Callithrix jacchus: one gene and its partner. The protein of the gene in region 1 interacts with the protein of each later gene in a pairwise test. Links are inferred from orthologs where the notes say so. Each region holds a gene or a part of one and is shown in the gene's direction. Other genes may lie near its edges. The genes, in order: USP47 and AP4M1.

Region 1 (10,255 bases):
TTTGTTTCTACATCTAAAATTTATGGTGTTAGCTTTTTAAAAAACAAAAATGTATTTCAATTAGTACATGCTTTATATGATCTGAGGGTTAATGAAACATAATTATATAAAAATAACATTTAAGTTATACTTGTAACTTTGATATCTTTGATGCAATCATAAATGTGTGGATTTTATTTGTTAGGGCCTATTGGTAGTGTTAATTATATACAGACTAAAACACTATATACATATTTATATATATGTATATATTTTTTTCTTTCTTGGGGATTGCTTTCTTTTAGATGATGGATTTAGAAGAGGTAATACCCCTGGATTGCTGTCGCCTTGTTAAATACGATGAGTTTCATGATTATCTAGAACGATCATATGAAGGAGAAGAAGATACACCAATGGGACTTCTACTAGGTGGTGTCAAGTCAACATATATGTTTGATCTGCTGTTGGAGACAAGAAAGCCTGATCAGGTTTTCCAGTCTTACAAACCTGGAGGTATCTAAAACCTCTAATTTTACACTATTTTGAGATGTACTCTATTTAAAATTTTCATGAGAAGTTTTTTATTAAAGAAATGAACATAATTTAAATTTTTTATAGGGTATTAAAATGTAGAATAATTTTGAAAGGTTGAGAAGTACTCAGCAACAGCTTGGAATTAAGTTCTAGAGTACTTGCAAATAATTTTATACGTAATTTTAAAAACAACAATGAAAAACAACAAAACTTCTAGCTTACAGTCTTCAGTGGGATTTTTCTTCTTTAGTATGCAGTACTGAATCATTTTGGATGCTGTAAATCCCTAAAGTTATCAGCTGCTCTCTTAGGAAGATCTGTCTTTCTCTTTCTTTCTCTTTATGGAGATCTTGGTCCAAAAAGTATATTTTCATAAAGTCTCAGAAGTAGAGGCTGTTTAGAATTTCTTTGGAAGGGTGGATTTATTATCCCATCACTGTCAGCATTTAAAGTTTTTCTTCATCCTCTCTACTTTTACAGGTCTCAGGGACTTCAGCTTTTCTTTCTTCATTAAATCTATCACATGCACTCAGGACGTTGAGTTGGTTTTTTTTTTTTTCCTTTGAGACTGCTTAGGAAAACCAAAATATCATGCCCCTAGTTTTTCCAGAGACAGTTTTGTAGGGGTTCAGTCAGGGTGGTGGGAAAAATTGTAAAATAGACACAAACCTTTTAGAAGGCGGGAAGGTTTCTTCAAAAGCCTTGGGAAGGAATGAGCTGAAGGCAGCAATTCTTACCCAGGGGCAGTTAGGCAGAAGTAGGTCCAAAGGAATGTGGGGGAATTTATCTAAAGAGCTTGTTTACTCATGTGATCCTAAGATCTACCATTCAACACCCTCAAGCACATGACTGCTCTCTATTCTGGGGGTCAGCAATGTTATTACCCACAAATGGTGTTTGCTTTAGGCCTTGGAACCTGGCCTTTAATCATTATCTGCAAGTGTGTTGACTCAAAGCCTTTGTCATTAAATCTGTACTGTATAAATGCCTGGAGTGCCAGCTGGTCCAGGGCTGCAGCTGCTGACTCTTTATAGCACCCTCCTCAACCTCTGAAAGCTGTCTGGACCCTCAACCCACTCTTTCACTAGATACCTGCATTTGTTCATCTGTCACTGGGTCAGGGTCTGCTGGTCAGACCCAGCACAGTTTCCTTAAAGACAGTTACATGGTCTGTTTTGTGTCCAGAGTTTTCTATAAATTGTAACAAATAGGAGAAAAGCAAAATGTTTAAATAATTTTACAAAATTTTTACTGTTGTGCTTGACCCTAACTCCTTTGCATCACTGTTTAGTTAAAATTCAGACTTAAGTCCTCTGTGTTGTTTTCCTAAATGTTGAACTTAAAAAACCTTATTCTCCCCTTTTACAATGATATTCCTTTATGGATCCTGTATATCTCCTTTTTAAATGAAGGCATCTCTTTACAGAGTAGGTTATATGTAATACTCTTTCAAGGAGCCTACATCTCTTAAGTGGGAAAATTTCATTTCTGAAAACCTTATGATGCCTGCTTCAGTTAAGACTCTACCTTATCTATAAAAAGTCCCTTAAGGACATTTTCTTGCTTTTTTTTTTTTTGAGCTAGACAGGAAAAAGAATGATTAGGGTGTAACATGAGTCAGCAGTAATACCACTTATTTGAAAGAGAACTCTAAATGCGAGTGCAGATTGTAAGACTTATAAAGTAGTCTTTCATTAATAATCTGGATCTTAGCAGAAGATTTTGTTAGATTTAGATAACAACATAGGGAAAAAAATAAGGATTGACATAAAACATGAGGTTAAAACAGATACATAGTAACTACATATTAAATACAGTGTTTGAAGATTAACGATGTAGTTACATAAACATAACCTGAAAACAGAAGAGAAGAAAATGGGATTTAATTTTAATAAAAGGATTCAAGTGAGAAAACAGATACATAATCACAGCAGTTTTTGTGTGGAATTTTCTTTGTGATATAGAAAATACTATTTTGAGAATAGGAAGTTTTTGATGATGAACAAGGTTTTGAGTGGCTTAATGAGGCATTTACTCAAAAGCAAGCGGGAGAGCTGTGTGGCCTTTAATATTTGTTTTGCAGTATATGGTGATTTATATTTATTCAATGTTGTTTTGGTCTGTACTTGGAAGTTTGGATTTGTCATCTATTAGAAACACATTAATAATGCATCACTCATGTGAAAGACATTAAAAAATAACCTCCAATTATGTGTTTATATCTTCAAATGTGACAGAAGTGATGGTGAAAGTTCACGTTGTTGATTTAAAAGCAGAATCTGTAGCTGCTCCAATAACTGTTCGTGCTTACTTAAATCAGACGGTTACAGAGTTCAAACAACTGATTTCAAAGGTAAGTTTTAAAAGGGGTTAGTAAATATATTTTTAAGTGCCTGTTACATACAAGACACTGTGTGATAGTTATGAATAAGATACAAGCTCTACCTCCAGGAGCTAATATTTGTAGTTAGGAGACAGCTGTGGTTTAAAAGAAACAGATTGAACAGGAAGTAAGAAAATGTGGGGCAAGTACATATAACAACTTGTATGTGTTGGCTGGATTATCGTAAAATACAGGATTGGAAATATTAGTGCAGTTTATTTCATAAAGAGCTTTAAACAGTAAACACAAAAGTTTGGGCTCCTTTTTGGTGTAGGCAATAAGAAGTCGATTTTTTTGCTGGTGGTGGTGTTAAGTGAGGCAATGCTGCACTTAGTGTCTGGTGACACTATACTAGTGTTCCACATGCCTTTACAGAGAGTCAGGAATGGAGAGGAGGAAGCTGTTGAAATAATTCAAGTGCAGGTGTATGACTGGAAATGAGAGAACACATAGATTCCAAGAGGGATAGAATCTGCAGGACTTGTAATTATTAAATGTAGGGATAAAGCTGATGCAACCGTGACCTAAGCCAGAGGTTTCAAACTTGGGTAACCAGAAAAGTAGGGATACATTAACAAAAATAGAAGAGGAAGGTGACCATGTAGACTTGACAGGGAGCATGATGAATTAAATACTGGCGCCATTATATGAGCTAATGATAAAGAACATAGGCTTATTCAGATTTCTTGAGCTGGAAAAATATGAGAATGAAAACATTCAAGTTTGGGGTGGGGGGCAAAAGGATTAGTCCATACCAGACAAACGATTATCATCCTTTCAAGGGTCCTGTACTCCTCAGAACCTTGAGCATACAAACAGGCAAAATTTTTCAGGGTTCTCAAACCGTAGGTTAAGATCCCCTCATGTAGTGGAAATTGTTCCATAATTACAAGTCGAGTTCAGGTTTCAGTCATTCATCTTATGGTAGTCTTGTCTTTCATCTCATTAGTTGGGGTTTTAAATACCTGTTTAACAGGGTTGTAGTGAGCATTAATGAAAAATAAATGCTCTGTGGAAAAAAATTGTAAGATGTTACGTAAGAGTTGGTTATTATTATGCTCTTAAAAATATATTTTGACTTATATTTATATGACTTCTAACAGTTTTGCTAAATTAATAACCAGGAAACAAATCATTTTTGTGAAATTATATTTTATGATTAAATTGCTTGTAAATGCATAGTATGTTGGTATGATATACTCTGTATTACATTTTTGAAATTTGAATGCCAAATGTAGAAGAATTCAGTTTAGTAAGCACTCAGGCATAATACAAAAGAAAGAGACACAATAGTTTCTTCCCAAGAAGTTAATAATGTTATTGAGAAAAATATGTCTAAGGCCAGGCATAGTGGCTCATGCCTGTAATCTCAGCACTTTGGAAGGCCGATGTGGATGGATCATTTGAGGTCAGGAGTTCAAGAGCAGCCTGGTCAACGGTGAAACCCCATCTCTAATAAACATACAAAAATTAGCCAGGCATGGTGGCTCATGCCTGTAGTCCCAGCTCCTTGGGGGCTGAAGCAGGGTAACTGCTTGAACACAGGAAACAGGTTACAGTGAGCTGAGGCTGTGCCACCAGTCCAGCCTGGGCAATAGAGCAAGACTGAATCTCAAAAAAAAAAGAAAGACAGCGGAGGTTGCAGTGAGCCAAGAAAAATATGTCTATAGAGAATAAAGGCGGTCACAAAACATCATGTAAACAAAGACAGTGTTTTAAAGTATAATCAGACTGCTTAAGAATTAGGTTTTTATAACTAATAACCTAAGTCATATTGAAAATAAATTGTGTTCTTTAAAACGGAGGTAATTTTTACCTGCTTTCATGTGAAATTTATGAAATGACTCCAGAGTTTAAAGATGCAGACTTAGAGAATAACTTAAAATTTTAACTACTAATCTTCCCATTTCACACAAAGGAAAATTGCTTATTGCTTTAATAAAAGTATAACAACTATTCACAAGACTACAGAAGGGCCTGTCAAAAGCCAAGAAGTTCAACATTTTAATATCACTCAAAATGTCAAGTTATTCAGTTTCTTTGGAATCGGATCACTCATTTACTTGGCAAATTTGAGAAGAATAGCATTTCTAGGACAAAATCCTTACCTTTAAAATAGTTTCAGAGCATACATTTATAAGTGGTATTTTGTTCTCCTGATTTGCAGCATAATTTATGGCTATAACTAATTTTTTTCTTTAATTCAAAATTTTTAAAACCTAGTAAATTATTTTTCTCTCTGTTGCTTTTAAGAAGAATTCAGCAGTGTCTTGCTTTCTAAGTAAAGCAGAATTATTTTTGAAAGAGTATTTTTTATTAAATTGCTTTTATTATAGGCCATCCATTTACCTGCTGAAACAATGAGAATTGTGCTGGAACGCTGCTATAATGATTTGCGTCTTCTCAGTGTCCCCAGTAAAACCCTGAAAGCCGAAGGATTTTTTAGAAGTAACAAGGTATGTCACTTATTTTTTTATTACTATTTTCTATGCTGATAATAGTAAATAAAATTAGTTCAGTATTATAAGCCTGGCCTCCACAGCTGTTCAACATCTGTCTGAAACTTAACTTAAAATTCTCAGGTTTTCCTAATAATTAGCTTCCTTTGTAGTCATGTCAGATCAGGCTCCTTTGTGTCCTGTCAATCAGTCTTAACAGTTCTCCTCTTCTTTGCCTTTGCTCATGTACACTCCCACCTAAAGTGTTCTTCCTCCTCTCCCTGCATTTTTTTTTTTCGATCTCTAGATTAGTCCTATCTCTTTGGTGAAACCCTCATAAACATTTCTACCCACAGTGATTATGTCCCCTGAATTTTGTTCACTTCATGGTGAAGGTCAGAGGCATACCTGGTATAGAAAAAATTATCATCTTGAGTTTACCCACCAATATTCCCTTTGCCTACTCATTTTTCTCTATTGGAAAGGAGAAAGTTCATGTTAATCCTCTTCTTTTGTCTTGATATTATTATGTGTTTCATCATTTATCATTTTTCATATGTGTCTATCACTTTTTCTAGTCTCATTTATCTTAGTACAGTCTAGTCTTTTATCTCATTTAACTTTTTTAGTATTATTTTATTAATCCCCATATGTAATTTTTATTCACCTATGCTTCTAAAACTTTTGTGTTGTGGGAGAGGGGGTGTATGTGTATCTGTAAAACATTAAAATCTCTAATCCCCTCCAATACTACTTTAGGGTAAGTAGTACAGGAAGGATCTAACTTTTTTTTGCCTTAAGTGGTTAGCCTACTAGTTTCAGTTTGTAACATTTACTGAATAGAATAATGATAGTGTTATCCTTTTATGCAAAAGCCAACATGCTATTTATTATCCCCAAATTTATGCCAAAAATGAATTTCATATTTTAAAAAAGATGTATTATGGAAAATTTCAAACATAAACAAAAGTAGAGAGAATAGGGAAAATAGAGTGACCCCCCCCCACCACATCCCCATCACTCAGCTTCTATAGTTATCGTCTGTTGTTTTATCTATATTTTAACTACCTGCTTCCCCCAGATTATTTGATAAACTTCCTCAGGATTATATCATTTCATCTATAGATAATATGAATGTATATCTCTAAATGAATAGAACTCTTAAAAAAAATGAAATTTACATTATGTACCTAAAAAATACCTTAATAGCAGCCTGTATCTTAGTCAGTATTCAAATTTCTCTGATTATCTTAGAAAAGTTTTTTCTGTAAATTTTCCTGTGTCTTTTTCATTTGCTTTCTTGCAGTTTATTTGTTACAAAACCAGGTTATTTGCCCATTAAATTTTTCGATGATCTGGATTTTGGTGTTATATTCACAAGGTGTCTTTACACATGTTTCCTATGTTTGTAATTCAGGCTAAACTTGGTTTTCCTAAAGGTGAAGGATTTATACAATCTAAAGAAAAACCAGATTATTAATTTCCTAAAGAGAAGTATGTATAATACAACTTTCTGAAATTGGACATCCCAGTAAACAAGGTGTTTGTGGATATGTGTATGTCCATGTCCTCTATCTTTGTGTAGTTTTATGGCTAGTTACAAAGACATTTGAGCCTAATATTTATTTTATTCAGTCTCCAAAACAATGCAGTGTCCTTCAGAAACTTTATCATCGCATTTTATAACATAACCGTGTATTGTCTTGTACTGATGCAATATTATGATTATGATGAATGAGAATGTCACTGAAATTAACATATAATAAAACTCTGATTTACTATGTAGGTGTTTGTTGAAAGTTCCGAGACTTTGGATTACCAGATGGCCTTTGCAGACTCTCACTTATGGAAACTCTTGGATCGGCATGCAAATACAATCAGATTATTTGTTTTGCTACCTGAACAATCCCCAGGATCTTATTCCAAAAGGACAGCATACCAGAAAGCTGGAGGCGATTCTGGTAATGTGGATGATGATTGTGAAAGAGTCAAAGGACCTGTAGGAAGCCTAAAGTCTGTGGAAGCTATTCTAGAAGAAAGCACTGAAAAACTCAAAAGCTTATCACTGCAGCAACAGCAGGATGGAGATAATGGGGACAGCAGTAAAAGTACTGAGACAAGTGACTTTGAAAACATCGAATCACCTCTCAATGAGAGGGACTCTTCAGCATCAGTGGATAACAGAGAACTTGAACAGCATATTCAGACTTCTGATCCAGAAAATTTTCAGTCTGAGGAACGATCAGACTCAGATGTGAATAATGACAGGAGTACAAGTTCAGTGGACAGTGATATTCTTAGCTCCAGTCATAGCAGTGACACTTTGTGCAATGCAGACAATGCTCAAATCCCTTTGGCTAATGGACTTGACTCTCACAGTATTACAAGTAGTAGAAGAACTAAAGCAAATGAAGGGAAAAAAGAGACATGGGATACGGCAGAAGAAGACTCTGGAACTGATAGTGAATATGATGAGAGTGGCAAGAGTAGGGGAGAAATGCAGTACATGTATTTCAAAGCAGAACCCTATGCTGCAGATGAAGGTTCTGGGGAAGGACATAAATGTATGTACTTCAAAAGAAAAAAGGTCCCTGAAACAGCGTCATTTTTTCTGTCAGTTTATTTAAATTTTCAGTTAAGTGTTAGGTACTTATTTCTAAGATCATTTGTAACTTTCTGGATTATAAGATTATTCTCTATTGACTTTGGTTTTTGATGCAGTTGTAATGAACACTGTTCTTAGACCTGTGCAATAAATTAGATGTTAATTATGTCAGAACTCTGACATAAGTAAAAAAATAATATTCAATATTAGGAAAGAATTATGAATACAGTTACTAAGTAAAAAATTCAGGAATATATTAAAAAGTAAGTAATATGTTTTTAAAAAGCTCGGACACTTTAGAAAATTTGGTATTCAATGCCCACAAACTGTTTTATTTCTACATGCTCTTGTCTCCATTTTCCAGTGCAAACGACAATTTCCTTGCTACACCCCCTTAAAAGTCCATAATTAACTGCGAAAGTCAGAGTAAGAAAAAGCGCTTTTAAAAATTTTTTTTGTTACTTTGAAGTAAATCCAAAGCAAGGAGTTACTAGAAATTCCAATGCATAATCTCAGAAAGATGGAAGAGATCTGAGAGTTTGGGCATTTAGCATAAGTGGTAACAACAAAAACATTCCAGCATTGTATGAGACTTAAAATAAAAGAACCTTTATAAAACCTTAGATGAGGGCCAGCCAAATAATTAGCGAGACAACCAGGATTAAGATACAAAATATTTCTTCCAAGTATAAAAGAGAAATAGCCGAAAAAGTAAATACTTTGCATTAGTTCTAAAAAAGCAAATATTAATACTATTTATATTTTTATATTTTAGCTTATTTGTTCTTACTTAAACCTTCTCCAAACTTAATAAAGCAAACATTAGTATCCTTATTTGACAGATAAGAAAACCAAAGCTCATAGAGGATGAATGACTTGCCCAAAAGTGCATGTGTAGCTAGTAAGTGGGGCCATTACTAGAACTGAAGGCATCTAATTGTTCCTTTTACCTTTGGAGAAGAGCCCCACTCTTTGTCCATCCATTCATCCATCCATCCAAGTAATATTTTCTAAATCCATGCTAGATGCCAGGCCCTGTGTAGCTGTTAGAAGTAGAGACGACTGAGATGCAGCCTTTTGTTTCATCTCAGGAGGAGGAGGTACAGAGTCACCCGCTCTAAAAGTTAAGTGCTATGATTCTTATATTCTCAAAATTCTATCTGCTAAAAGGAAGTAGTAGAAATTATGAAATACAAGTATTTAAATTTGTGTTTTTAACTAGTTGTGTTAAATAACACTGGAATCATATGACATTCATACATATATCTTGCAGAAACTCAAGTGTGAAAATGAGGATTGGCCGGACAAAATGGAGAAAGGGCAATCATATTATAATAATGCTTTAAATTTCTATGGAGCATTTACCTCATAAGACTCATTAGCTTACATGAGATCAGCATGCAAATACAATCTTAGTTCTCTTAACAGCTGTGTGAAACTGATATCATTAGGCCGTTTTCACTGATGAAGAAACTGGTCGAACAGATTAAGTAATTTGCCTGCGGTCACCCAGCTCACACTGCTAGGATGAGACTCAGATATTAGGAGCCACCACCCCATGGCTGCTGCCACTGTTTTTTCCTTACATATTAGTAAAGGAAAAATAGTGGTAACTAGTCTGCTTTTTTACCATACTCAACCCATCGAGGGCATTAGAAAAATTAAAAGTAGTTCCACTTTAGTAAAAGGTTGGAAATTTCTTTTAAGTGGTCTCTGTTTTAGGATGATGTGCTAAAAATTCGACTGGATAATAGTCTCAACCTTAGGAAGAATTCAGTGGGAATGCTTAGAATTATAGTTTGAAAAGTCTGAATTCCATCTTAGAACAGTTAATAAAATCTTTAAAAAGGAGATTGTTGGCCATTTTACTATATTTGAAAATTTGTACTAGGCTTATTTACTTCATTGAAAGAGTAAATGAAATACTATTTTCATTGAAATCGTAAACATGGTGAATAAGAAAACATTCACTCTAACTTATGTATTTGGGCCTTTAGAAGCCTCAGAAAAGAGCCTGTTTGAAAAGAAAATGTGACCCTGGAAAAATGCCTTCTCATGTGTAGAAAACTGGTTTGGGGATAGGGAAGTAGGGATAGCAGCCAGCAGCCAGGTTTTTCTTGAATCTGTACTAAGACTGATTGATTGCAGCTCCTCAGTCATCTGAAATTACATCCCTGGGAAAACGTGGATGATGAGTAATAATACACATTCTTCAGAGTGATAAAATGACTTGAAAGAAAGGACAGGTAGACAATGAATTTGATATTTGAAGAATGATGCACTATGCACAGTATAGGCACTCCACTCAGGCAATAA
Region 2 (10,842 bases), on another chromosome or scaffold:
CAGCCTGAGAGCACTGAGATTACAGGTGTAAGCCACTATGCACCCCCACTTTTTGAATAAACCCTGTGGTCCTGTCTGTCACTATGTTCACCCCTCTCAAAGTCCAACTACTTACTGCGGGGGGCCAGGCGATCGATATATGACAGAAGCTGAGACTTGGCCACACCAGGATCCCCCATCAGACAGATGTTGATGTTGCCTAGAGGAAGACAGGCAGCCCAGGAATGACTCTTCTCCCAGTGCAAGTTGGCCAACAGCAGAGCAATTTTGAATTCTGCCTCCCCCAACACCTAGCATTACTTCTAAGCCCTCCCTGTGTCCATGAATCGAAGACGCCCACTCTTATACTGTGACCTATGGGGACACTTGTCATCCTTTTTTCCTCCCAAATGACTTCATCTACCCTGAGCCTTGCCCTTTTTTCTTCTTACCCCTGATTTTCATGCCTCGAGGAGACTGGTCCACACCCCCCACTAGCAGGAGCAGCAGTGCCTTCTTCACATCTTCATGCCCATATATCTCTGGGGCAATTGAAGCTGCCAGCTTTTCGTAAAAATCCTCCTCTGTGGAGAATTTTAAGGTTAAGGTATTTTGTGGGGGAAAATGGGGGGGTAGGATGTAAACGGAATTTCCTCTCTCTCCTGAGCATCACCTGCAATCTGCCTCAGCTCCTCCCTGCTGAGCTCTCCAGCCCCAGACTCATCATCCTCACTCTTGTTCATCTTCACAATCCGATGGGCTTCCAGGTAGGTTTCTGAGAGTAAACCCTTAGGCAGGAAAATGTCAGGATACAGATGCAATCCTTAGAACTTACCCATCACCAGATTCCCTAACAATTTCTTGATAAAGCACTGTGTTGTTTTGTTTGGTGCTTTGCTACTCACTTTTCTCTGTATGGGTACAGTGGGTGAGGGGAAATGGGATGATCTGTTCCTCATATCAAACTCCCTTCCTTACCTGTACCACCTGTCGGAACCCAGTGCGCAAGACTGGCAGGAAGATACCAGTGACACTGACATGGTCTCCAGGCTGGGCGATCCTTGTGTTCTCTCCTTCTACCAGCACTGTGATACTACGAGGGATATTTCCCACGGGTACTTGGTCACTCTAGGGGAGGGAAGAGCACATAAGGCTCAGGAGAAATAAACAAGGACCCAACCTTCCCTCCCTAGGCATCCCACGCCAAGACTCCCTGCCTGCCCAGCCACAGATAAGCCCACAGGACGGAAGCTGAGACTGCCTTTCTCCCCTTGCCAAGGCTCTCAAGAAACCCCAGTTCCACCTCACTCCTGCACTTCCCTCTTTTGTTCTTCTTGCCATTCCACCAGTGACTACAGGATTCAAGTGGACTCCTGATCCACCTGCCCAGGGCCACATACCCCAAACTCACATGTTCTTGCATCTTCATCTCCTGGAATTTGATGAATTTGGAGCCCCGTGTCTGCAGATACAGCCGCCCTCCTGAGCGGTTGGTTTGGCACTCCTGGCTTGGGCACATGATCAGAGGCATGAAAGTGGGAGACTGAATCTAGGATTGAGAACAGAAACACCAAAGGAAGTCAGAAGAAAAACAGCCCCATCTCGGTCTCTTGAATCATGTTTTCTCTTCATGGCAGACATCTTCTGAATCAAGAACTCTTTGAGCTTATTCTAGACAACAGAAGACACCCAGAAAATAGAAAGACCACTACATACCCAAGAATGAAAAGTGAACACATAGGTAGCTTTTACAACCAGAAAAAACGATAGGCATCATGGATCATATCAATTTCTATAAAATGACTAAGTGTGAAGTGCTTTCCTGCTCCTTCCTCCACACGTACCGGCTGGTAGGTCTCTGCCCCGCACTGGTCACAAGTGTAAGTGGCCACTACCATCTTGGGTTTGACTTCAGAGACACGGGTGACGATTCCACGCACAGTCACCAATTTCCCCACAGAGTCAGCTCGCACATCCCGGATCACACGAGGCTTGTTGCTGCTTGGGCCTTGAAAATACAGCTCACTAAGAGGAGAAAACAGTCACAAACAAGATCCTGGAGTCACAAACCAATCCCTACATCCTTCCCAACAGAGACCACTCACAATCTGCGCATGAGTTCAGCGGGATACTGGTTCTGGGGGCTTCGGGCCATCCCAGGGTCCCGAGTCCGCTGCTCCATCATAAGCCGATGTTCAATATAAACATCCAGGACATCTTTATTTACCACCTAAAGGAGAAGAGCAGAAAAAAATGAGTAACAGGATGGGGAAAGGAGAGCACAGACAATGCCAGGCAGAAGTGCCCCTGCTTTCTGCCTGGCTCCGAAAACATCAGTATCTGAGAAGCTTCTTAACAGAAGCTGAAACGCCTTGCCCTGCATTGTTCTCCAGTCACTCACCTCCCTCTCCTTGTACTGAGGCAGCAGCTCTTGTACCGCATCAGCAAACAGCTTTGCGTAGCGCCTGGCATTCTCACAAATTGAGTCCACCAACTCAGGGTCATCCTCAGCTACATCATCCAGGTCCACGTACAGAGCCACCTGTTCCCTATGAGCCAGCCGAACCTCAGGTGGGAAAGAGACAGCAACACCTCAGAGCCATGTTCACTTGTTCAGTGTTCACGTGTGAAGATGCATCACTGAGAGCTCAGCACGGGCTCTGGGCATCCACAGGGGAGAACATAGCACCTCAGAGAGCACACTCACTTCTCAGCCCCCAAACTCTCTAATTATTATGAAAATACTATAGCATCACATTCTCTTACCAGATATCAAATGCCCTGATAAACATGTCAGAAAAACATCCTTGATGAAACAAGCCGCTTCTTAGGACTTCTTAAAACCCGACTCCTCATTCTCTTTACCCAATCTTAGACTCACCAATTGGTTCCCATACTTGAACTGCTTCTTCCCAAGTTCATCATCCTGGTAGAACTCTTGTAAGAACTTCTTAACCTTTTCTGTAACGTAAAAGGTAAAATCATAAGACACAAACTTTATATTACTGCCCATCCCTCTGACAGAAATCTAAGACGCCTATTTTCACTTAAAACACGATTTATGAACTAGTTAACGATATGAGCATTTAAATAAACCTACCGAATTCTCCCCAAAATGGGTATAACTCTTTTTCACAAGTTTGTTTTTAATCAGCGAAGAATAAAGAGGTCGTGGCAGTTCACAGGATGATCCAACATCGTCTTCCCAGGGGAATTCCGGTCCCTACTTTAAAACCCTAGCGCCCTTCCTCATCGGCGCCCCACACTCCGATCTCAAGGTTCTCAGCCTTCCTTCCACCCCTATGATCCCCCACCTTCTTTGGGCCCCTGAGCCCCTGATCTCGCCAGGACCTCCGCCATCAGGCGGGTCGCGCACCCCACCCCCGCTCCCGCCAGCGCTTCCGCTCTTAGTAAACAAAGAAGCACATGGGACCGGATTCCAGCCGCCTCACAGCCCGGGATTCCTCCGCCCAGGGCGGGAGCCCATCCAGCCATTGGACAACACGCCTGGGGCCGCCGCGATCCCAGCCCACTACCGCCTTTCCGGGGCACGAGCGAAGCTCCCGGTTCCCAGGCACGCCCCCTCCCCTGGGCCACAGCTCTCTCCGAGGCCGCTGCGCGGAAGGACACTGTTTACACGACACTCCCTCCATCCGCGTCGCGCCACTTCCGCCCGGCTCCACTTCCGCTTGGAGGGCGGCCTCAAACGGCCAATCCTGGTGCGTAGCGGCCCGGCCTGCCCGCCCCCAGGGCCTCCGCGCGCCTCGGGAGGACGCGGGAACTGGGGAATGCCCAAAAGCGCGGAGGAAAGCAGGCCCGGAACCCCAGAGTCCTTAGGGTACTCCGAGGTCTTGGGCGCGATTCTCCCCTATGCAGCACCCCCCCAGCCAGGTTAGCGCCCCCAAGCCCCCAACTCCATGACCCTAACACCTTTACTACGTGGGATTACCAGCTTTTCTTCAACATGGATGCCACCTGCGCCTCGTGGGCCTCAGCCGGGCGGCCGCCCGACCCTGCCTCTAGCCTTGTGGTCCCCAGAACTTGCTGATCCCGGCTCCACAAGACCCCAGCTCACACCAATAGGTGTTCCCCGGGAGGCTCCCCGCGCAGGACGCCCTCCCAGGCTCGTAGAGCAGTACCTTTCTCGATCGCGTAGTCCTTCAGTGCCATCACTACCGAGGCCCGTACGGCAGCGCTTGGCGGACTCAGAGGTCTGGGTCCCGGGCAAGCGGAGAACGTCCGCGCGGTGGACTGTGGCTGACCAACCGAAATTGGCGCGAAACGTCGCCCCCACGTGACCGGCGCCACTGCCTGCCGGCCAATTGCAGAGGCCGGCCCTCTCCCCGCCTCCAGCTAGCCTCAAGCCAATCACCAGGAGGACCTGGAATGAGTGACGGGGAGGCGGTGTGGGCGTCGGGAGGGAATCGCCGAGCTAGGCTGGGCGGGCGTCTGGTTTCCCGCGGTCCGAGCTGGCTTAGGCGGAGCAGAATCGCTCTTAAAGGGCCAGCGCACGCGTGTTCCTTTGTTCCGGGGCCTCAGGGCGGGGCAGGCCCAACTTTCGCCGTCTTCTCGTTTACTCTCCAGAACGGCCATGATTTCCCAGTTCTTCATTCTGTCCTCCAAGGGGGACCCGCTCATCTACAAAGACTGTATCCTAGACCCGCGGGGCTGGGAAGGGGCGGAGGTGTCGGGCGGGAGGGGCGCCCGGGGCCAGCCCGTGTCGCAGGCTTCTTCACTGAGTTCTTCCACCCGCCAGTCCGTGGGGACAGTGGCGGCCGGGATGTGGCCGAGCTCTTCTACCGGAAGCTGACGGGACTGCCAGGAGACGAGTCCCCGGTTGTCATGGTAACCACTGGCGGGAGGCGGGTGGGGAGCAGGGAGCCGGCGCCCACCTGGCCCGCCGGCTCCCTCCCAGGGCTGATTCCTTGGTAGCTTCCACTTGGGATGGGGTGCATTCTTCCATATAAAACTAACAAGAGGCCCGGTGTCTCATGCCTGTAATCCCAGCACTTTGGGAGGCCGAGGGGGGCGGATCACCTGAGGTCAGGAGTTCGAAACCAGCCTGGCCAACCTGGTGAAACCCCCGCCTCTACTAAAAATACAAAAAAATTAGCCAGGCCTAGTGGTGAGCGCCTGTAATCCCAGCTACTAGGGAGGCTGAGCCAGGAGACTCGCTTGAACCCGTGAGGCAGAGGCTGCAGTGAGCCGAGATCGCCACACTGCACTCCAGCTTGGGTGACAGAGCAAGACTACATCGGGCAGGGGTCGGGGGGGGGGGGACGTTGGGACAAAAAAAACTTACATCAGGTGGCAGCAAAACACCAGGCCCAGCTCCCTTTATGACTCCATCCTCAGCAACTAGGTGTAGCTACTGTAATTAACCCCGTTTCCACATTGGGAAGCTGGGTTCAGGAACCTGTCATGTATCTCCCGAAGTCACTGCTACTGTGACTAGTAAGAGGCATCGGGATCCGAGCTCAGGTCTCCTGGGTTCTGATCACCCCAGCTCCTTTTTCCTAATGCTACTCTACCTGCCTGTGTCTCAGCATCACGAGGGCCGTCATTTCATTCACATCAGACACAGCGGCCTCTATTTGGTGGTCACAACTTCAGAAAACGTTTCTCCCTTCGGCCTCCTAGAACTGCTCTCCAGGTGAGGAGGGCTGGGCTGGACACCTGGTAGCTAGTGGGGGTCTAAGAGGAGGAGGAAATGCATACTCCCAAGTGTTTCTTCAGGTTGGCCACCCTTCTGGGCGATTACTGTGGCGCCCTGGGTGAGGGGACCATCTCCCGCAACGTGGCTGTGGTCTACGAGCTCCTGGATGAAGTGCTGGTGAGAATCAATGATCCCCTTCTGTGCCCGCCCCCCAATTCCCCTGGAGATACTTCTGCTCTTCTACTGCGGGATGCTGTGGTTGGGAGACCAAGTCTACTCCTTTTTTTTTTACCTTTTAGAGATAGGGTCTTTGCTCTGTCACCCAGGCTGGAGTGCAGTGGTGCAGTCATAGCTCACTGTAACCTGGAACTCCTGGGCTCAAGTAATCCTCCTGCCCCAGCCTCCCCTGTGCCCAACTAATTGTTTATTTTTTATGGAGACAGGAGTCTCTGGCGCCCAGGCTGGAGTGCAGTGGCTGGATCTCTGGTCACCGCAACCTCTGCCTCTTGAGTTCAAGTGATTCTTCTGCCTCAGCCTCCTGAGTAGCTGGGACTACAGGCACATGCCACCTGCCTGGCTAATTTTTTGTATTTTTAGTAGAAATGGGGTTTCACTATGTTGGTCAGGCTGGTCTGGAACTCCTGACCTCATGATCCACCTGCCTTGGCCTCACAAAGTGCTGGGATTACAGGGGTGAGCCACTGCACCCGGCCCCCACTTCACCTTTTTTACCCCTTCCCTCCACTGACTTCTCAGACTGTCCTTCTTTTACGCTAGGATTATGGCTACGTACAGACCACATCTATGGAGATGCTGAGGAATTTCATCCAGACGGAAGCTGTGGTCAGCAAGCCCTTCAGCCTCTTTGACCTCAGCAGTGTTGGCTTGGTCAGCAGAGAAAAAGAGGAGGGTGAGGAAGGAGAAGGGGTGTTGCCTGGGGTTGTCAGACCTGAGGATTGATTGCTTTGGATACTTTACAGTTTGGGGCTGAGACACAACAGAGCAAAGTGGCCCCCAGCAGTGCAGCCAGCCGCCCCATTCTGTCCAGTCGCTCTGACCAGGTGAGAGAGGGATCCATGGGGTCCAACCTTGTGGTTTTGCTCTGGGACCCCAGAGTCCAAGATTTTAGGTTGGGCACAGTGGTTCATGTCTGTAATCCCAGCATTTGGGGAGGCTGAGGTAGGCAGATCACCTGACATCAGGAGTTTGAGAGCAGCCTGGTCAACATGGTGAAACCCCATCTCTACTAAAAATGCAAAAATTAAAAAAAAAAAAGATCTTGGTACGTTTTCCACCTCTCCTAGATGTGGGTATCCCTTCTGGCACCTGTGTCCCTACCCTAGAGCTGTAGCTTTGACCATTCTTCTGTTCTTTCTTCTGTCTGTCCACTTCAGAACATAGACTGTTCTGCTTCCAACGACCCAAATCCTCTCTCTTTCTCAGAGCCAGAAGAATGAAGTTTTTTTGGATGTGGTTGAGAGATTATCTGTACTGATAGCATCTAATGTAAGTTTGAGCTCCCATCCCTTGAGCTGAGGACAAATGAGATTTGGGACACATGTTGGGGTGGCTAAGACTCCAGCAATGGCTGGGCACGGTGGCTCATGCTTATAATCCCAGTGCTTTGGGAGGCAGAGATGGGATAATTACTTGGGGCCAGGAATTTGAAACCAGCCTGGGCAACATAGCCAGATCCTGACTCTACAAAATACAAAAAAATTACCCAGGCATGGTAGTGTACACCTGCTGTCCCAGCTACTTGGGAGGCTGAGGCAGGATGATCGCTTGAGCCCAGGAGATTGAGGCCTCAGTGAGCCAGGATGGCACCAAAGCACTCTAGCCTGGGTGAGAGAGCAAGACGCTGTCTCTTTAAAGAAAGAAGTCAGCACGGTGGCTCATGCCTGTAATCCCAGCGGTTTGAGAGGCCGAGGCTGGTGGATCACTTGAGGTCAGGAGTTTGAGACCAGCTTGGCCAACATGATGAAACTCCATCTCTACTGAAAAGACAAATTTAGCCAAGCGTGCTTGCAGGCACCTGTAATCCCAGCTAGTTGGGAGGCTGTGAGGAGAACCGATTGAACCTGGTAGGCAGAGGTTGCAGTGAGCTGAGATTGCACCATTGCATTCCAGCCTGGGTGACAGACCAAGAGTCTGTCTCAAAAAAAAAAAAAAAAGAAAAATTCCAACCTTGACCTCTGCCTCTCAGGGCTCCCTACTGAAGGTGGATGTGCAGGGAGAGATTCGGCTCAAGAGCTTCCTTCCCAGTGGCTCTGGTGAGGCATCTGCAGGCAGGACCCAGGGTTGGGGTTGGGGCAGGTTCCTTGATGTTTTACACCGTGGAGTTTGCGAGCTCTCCTAATGTTCTTTCCTCTGCCAGAGATGCGCATTGGCTTGACGGAAGAGTTTTGTGTGGGGAAGTCAGAGCTGAGAGGTGAGGAGAAAGGGTCTGTCTCTCTCTGGGGTAGGTCTCTCATTGCCAGAGAGTTCATGGAGAGAAGTCAGAGACGGATCTTCCCCCTCCTTTCTCCCTCTCCCAAAAGGAGTCAGGAGAGAAGTCTCTCTTTCCAGGTTATGGGCCAGGAATCCGGGTCGATGAAGTCTCATTTCACAGCTCCGTTAATCTGGACGAGTTTGAGTCTCATCGAATCATCCGCTTGCAGCCACCTCAGGGCGAGGTCAGGATTGGGGTAGCCCTGTAAATTCTGTCCACCATGGGGAAGGGGGCAGTGTGGGGTTGAGGAGACCAAACTGACCCTGTTGCTCTCTGGTCTCTCAGCTGACTGTGATGCGGTACCAACTCTCCGATGACCTCCTCTCACCACTCCCCTTCCGGCTCTTCCCCTCTGTACAGTGGGACCGAGGCTCAGGCCGGTGAGACCATTTCCTGGGTTCCAGAAGTACCTTGGAGCCCAAGAGAGGATGTGTATGTTCCCAACACTCACTGCAGAGTGGGGGTGGTGGTAGAGGTGATGAAGTGCAGATTGGAAAAAGGCTTGGGCTGGGCATGGTGGCTCATGCCTGTAATCCCAGCACTTTGGGAGGCTGAGGTTGGAGGATCACTTGAGCCCAGGAGTTCCAGACCAGCCTGGGCAACATAGTGAGACCCAGTCTCTTCAAAAAAAAAAAAAAAGGAAAAAGCTTTGGCTAATGGAGTTGGGCTGGGCTTCAGCTCTTTGGGGTACAGCCCACACAGCCCTGCACAGAGCCCCCTGGTGGGGAATGGTGAGATGCCAGTAAGAGATGGCCCGAGTCATGGTGTTTTATTCTCTCGTCCAGGCTCCAGGTTTACCTGAAGTTACGATGTGACCTGCCCTTGAAGAGGTAAGAGTGGAGGCCAGTGAGGCCGAGTTCAGCTCTGTGGGATAAGAGACAGGGCCAGGACATCTGCTGCTACTCTCTTCAGATGCACCTGCCAGCCTCAGAATCCAGTTTAGGTAGAGGCTGTAGCATTTGGGAAGATGGGGGGCAACTGTGCTGAAATCCCATTGTGACATTGAAGGGGAACAGGACAAGGGACCATGCTTTCCTGGGGCTGACTTTGTTCCCGTCTCCTCTGTAGCCAAGCCCTCAATGTCAGGCTGCACCTCCCCCTGCCTCGAGGGGTGATCAGGTAAGTGCGTGTGCCCTGGGAGGTAGCAAGGCACAGGTAGGCGGGGAGTGAGGTCAGCACAATGGGCCTGCCCAGAGAAGGTGTCAAGCTCAGCATCTTTCCTCTCCAAACTCCAGCCTTTCTCAGGAGCTGAGCAGCCCAGAGCAGAAGGCCGAGCTGGCAGAGGGAGCCCTTCGCTGGGACCTGCCTCGGGTGCAAGGAGGCTCTCAACTCTCAGGCCTTTTCCAGGTATTTGCTGTTGACCCTCCAGCCCCTCTCCTCCCACCTTCACTTGCAGCCCCGACCCTGCCCTCCCGAAGCAGTTGCTGCCTGGTCCCCCCAGCTTGGTCAGCTTCCTGCGCTCCTTCCTCTCCCTGCCTCTGCCCCTCACAGATGGATGTCCCAAGGCCCCCAGGACCTCCCAGCCATGGGCTCTCCACCTCAGCCCCTCCTCTGGGGCTGGGGCCTGCCAGCCTCTCCTTCGAGCTTCCCCGGCACACGTGTTCCGGCCTCCAGGTCCGCTTCCTCAGGCTGGCCTTCAGGCCCTGCGGCAATGCCAACCCCCACAAGTGGGTGCGACACCTGAGCCACAGCGACGCCTATGTCATTCGGATCTGAGGATCCCCTAATGAGGATACAGTGGCCAAGGCAGCTGTTTGTCCCATGGGAGGAGGACAGTCTTTTCCAGCTTCCTGGCCTGCAGACTCTGGGCAGGAAGAGTCCTGAGTCCTGAGAGACCAGGAGGGCACAATGGGCGCAGCCTTTCCATGGTATATGATGCAGGAAGGACTGTGGTGCATCAGAACTTAGAAACCAAACTTTTATTCTGAGGAACTGGCTGTACAATATCTAAAAAGAAAGTGACATGAAGGAAGCAATCTACAACTTCCTTCTGCCTAGTGTGCATGCATGCGTGTACATGTCTGCATGTGTGGGAATCCGGGGCCAGCAGGTGAAACATCATGGTGCAGGCTGAGGGGAGCTGGAGCTGGGGGGCTGGGAGCCATTCGCTTTTGGAGTCCCTGGAGCTGGAGGGGGACTGTCCCCAGCTTCCTGCTTCCCCCCACAGAGGGCACTGCTGCTGAGCGGAGAAGGGGATGATGTTGGCGGAGGAACTGGAGAAGGGTGGGAGGCAGGGCCTCCTTTGCCCTCCCCTGTCGAGGGAAGTGAAACCACAATGTACTTCTGGACGCTCCCAGGACCAGAGGGAGCAGTGCTAGCGGGTGCGGTGGTGGCGGTGGAGACCAGCTTGACGATGGGCTGCACGCTGGGGACAGTGGTGGTGACAGGCGAGGTGGTGGTGCAACCTGAGCCAGGGGCTGAGGTGCTGAGAGACAGGACCTGGGCAGAAGGGAAAGGCATGGCCACTTGCCCTGTGTCCTCCCGGCCCCCCAGAGGCCTGGCAGGGACCCTTTACTTGCTCCCTGTCTGAACAAGTTCCCCGTAGACTGGCAGGAGGCCTTGCTCAAGCAGGGCAGCTACGGCCCTGCAGGACCCTGATGGGTGCCTCTTCCAGCTCCTGACTTGGGGCCCGGGGGGACTATGCTCTACTCCGGGGCCTCCCCAGGGTGCTGAGGTGACCCAGGCCCTCCAGATGCTCCCCCCATCCCTGTCCCAC

Evidence for each region.
Region 2: the proteins of USP47 (region 1) and AP4M1 interact in binary tests that used the Homo sapiens proteins (3 or more experiments, as listed by UniProt). The two-hybrid records come from large-scale screens. The link is inferred for Callithrix jacchus from reciprocal best matches to the Homo sapiens genes USP47 and AP4M1.

What each region holds. Positions count from the first base shown.
Region 1 is NC_133511.1:77,815,941-77,826,195, forward strand, and holds part of USP47 (ubiquitin carboxyl-terminal hydrolase 47), read left to right. Parts: intron 1-284; coding exon 285-492; intron 493-2,750; coding exon 2,751-2,866; intron 2,867-5,232; coding exon 5,233-5,352; intron 5,353-7,120; coding exon 7,121-7,898; intron 7,899-10,255. UniProt on the Homo sapiens protein: Ubiquitin-specific protease that specifically deubiquitinates monoubiquitinated DNA polymerase beta (POLB), stabilizing POLB thereby playing a role in base-excision repair (BER). Acts as a regulator of cell growth and genome integrity.
Region 2 is NC_133503.1:13,477,668-13,488,509, reverse strand, and holds AP4M1 (AP-4 complex subunit mu-1), read left to right. Parts: upstream 1-3,691; 5' UTR 3,692-3,870; intron 3,871-4,118; coding exon of another isoform or gene 4,119-4,149; exon of another isoform or gene 4,150-4,246; intron 4,247-4,503; exon of another isoform or gene 4,504-4,563; 5' UTR 4,564-4,570; coding exon 4,571-4,628; intron 4,629-4,735; coding exon 4,736-4,824; intron 4,825-4,843; exon of another isoform or gene 4,844-4,907; intron 4,908-5,525; coding exon 5,526-5,632; intron 5,633-5,715; coding exon 5,716-5,812; intron 5,813-6,412; coding exon 6,413-6,523; intron 6,524-6,615; coding exon 6,616-6,696; intron 6,697-7,078; coding exon 7,079-7,141; intron 7,142-7,841; coding exon 7,842-7,908; intron 7,909-8,012; coding exon 8,013-8,066; intron 8,067-8,203; coding exon 8,204-8,310; intron 8,311-8,411; coding exon 8,412-8,506; intron 8,507-8,911; coding exon 8,912-8,956; intron 8,957-9,194; coding exon 9,195-9,245; intron 9,246-9,361; coding exon 9,362-9,473; intron 9,474-9,617; coding exon 9,618-9,842; 3' UTR 9,843-10,130; and 1 more. Other genes in the region: DNA replication licensing factor MCM7, read right to left, coding at 116-199, 432-563, 653-767, 958-1,107, 1,391-1,528, 1,824-2,004, 2,085-2,209, 2,381-2,545 and 2 more; TAF6 (transcription initiation factor TFIID subunit 6), read right to left, coding at 10,185-10,565. UniProt on the Homo sapiens protein: Component of the adaptor protein complex 4 (AP-4). Adaptor protein complexes are vesicle coat components involved both in vesicle formation and cargo selection. They control the vesicular transport of proteins in different trafficking pathways.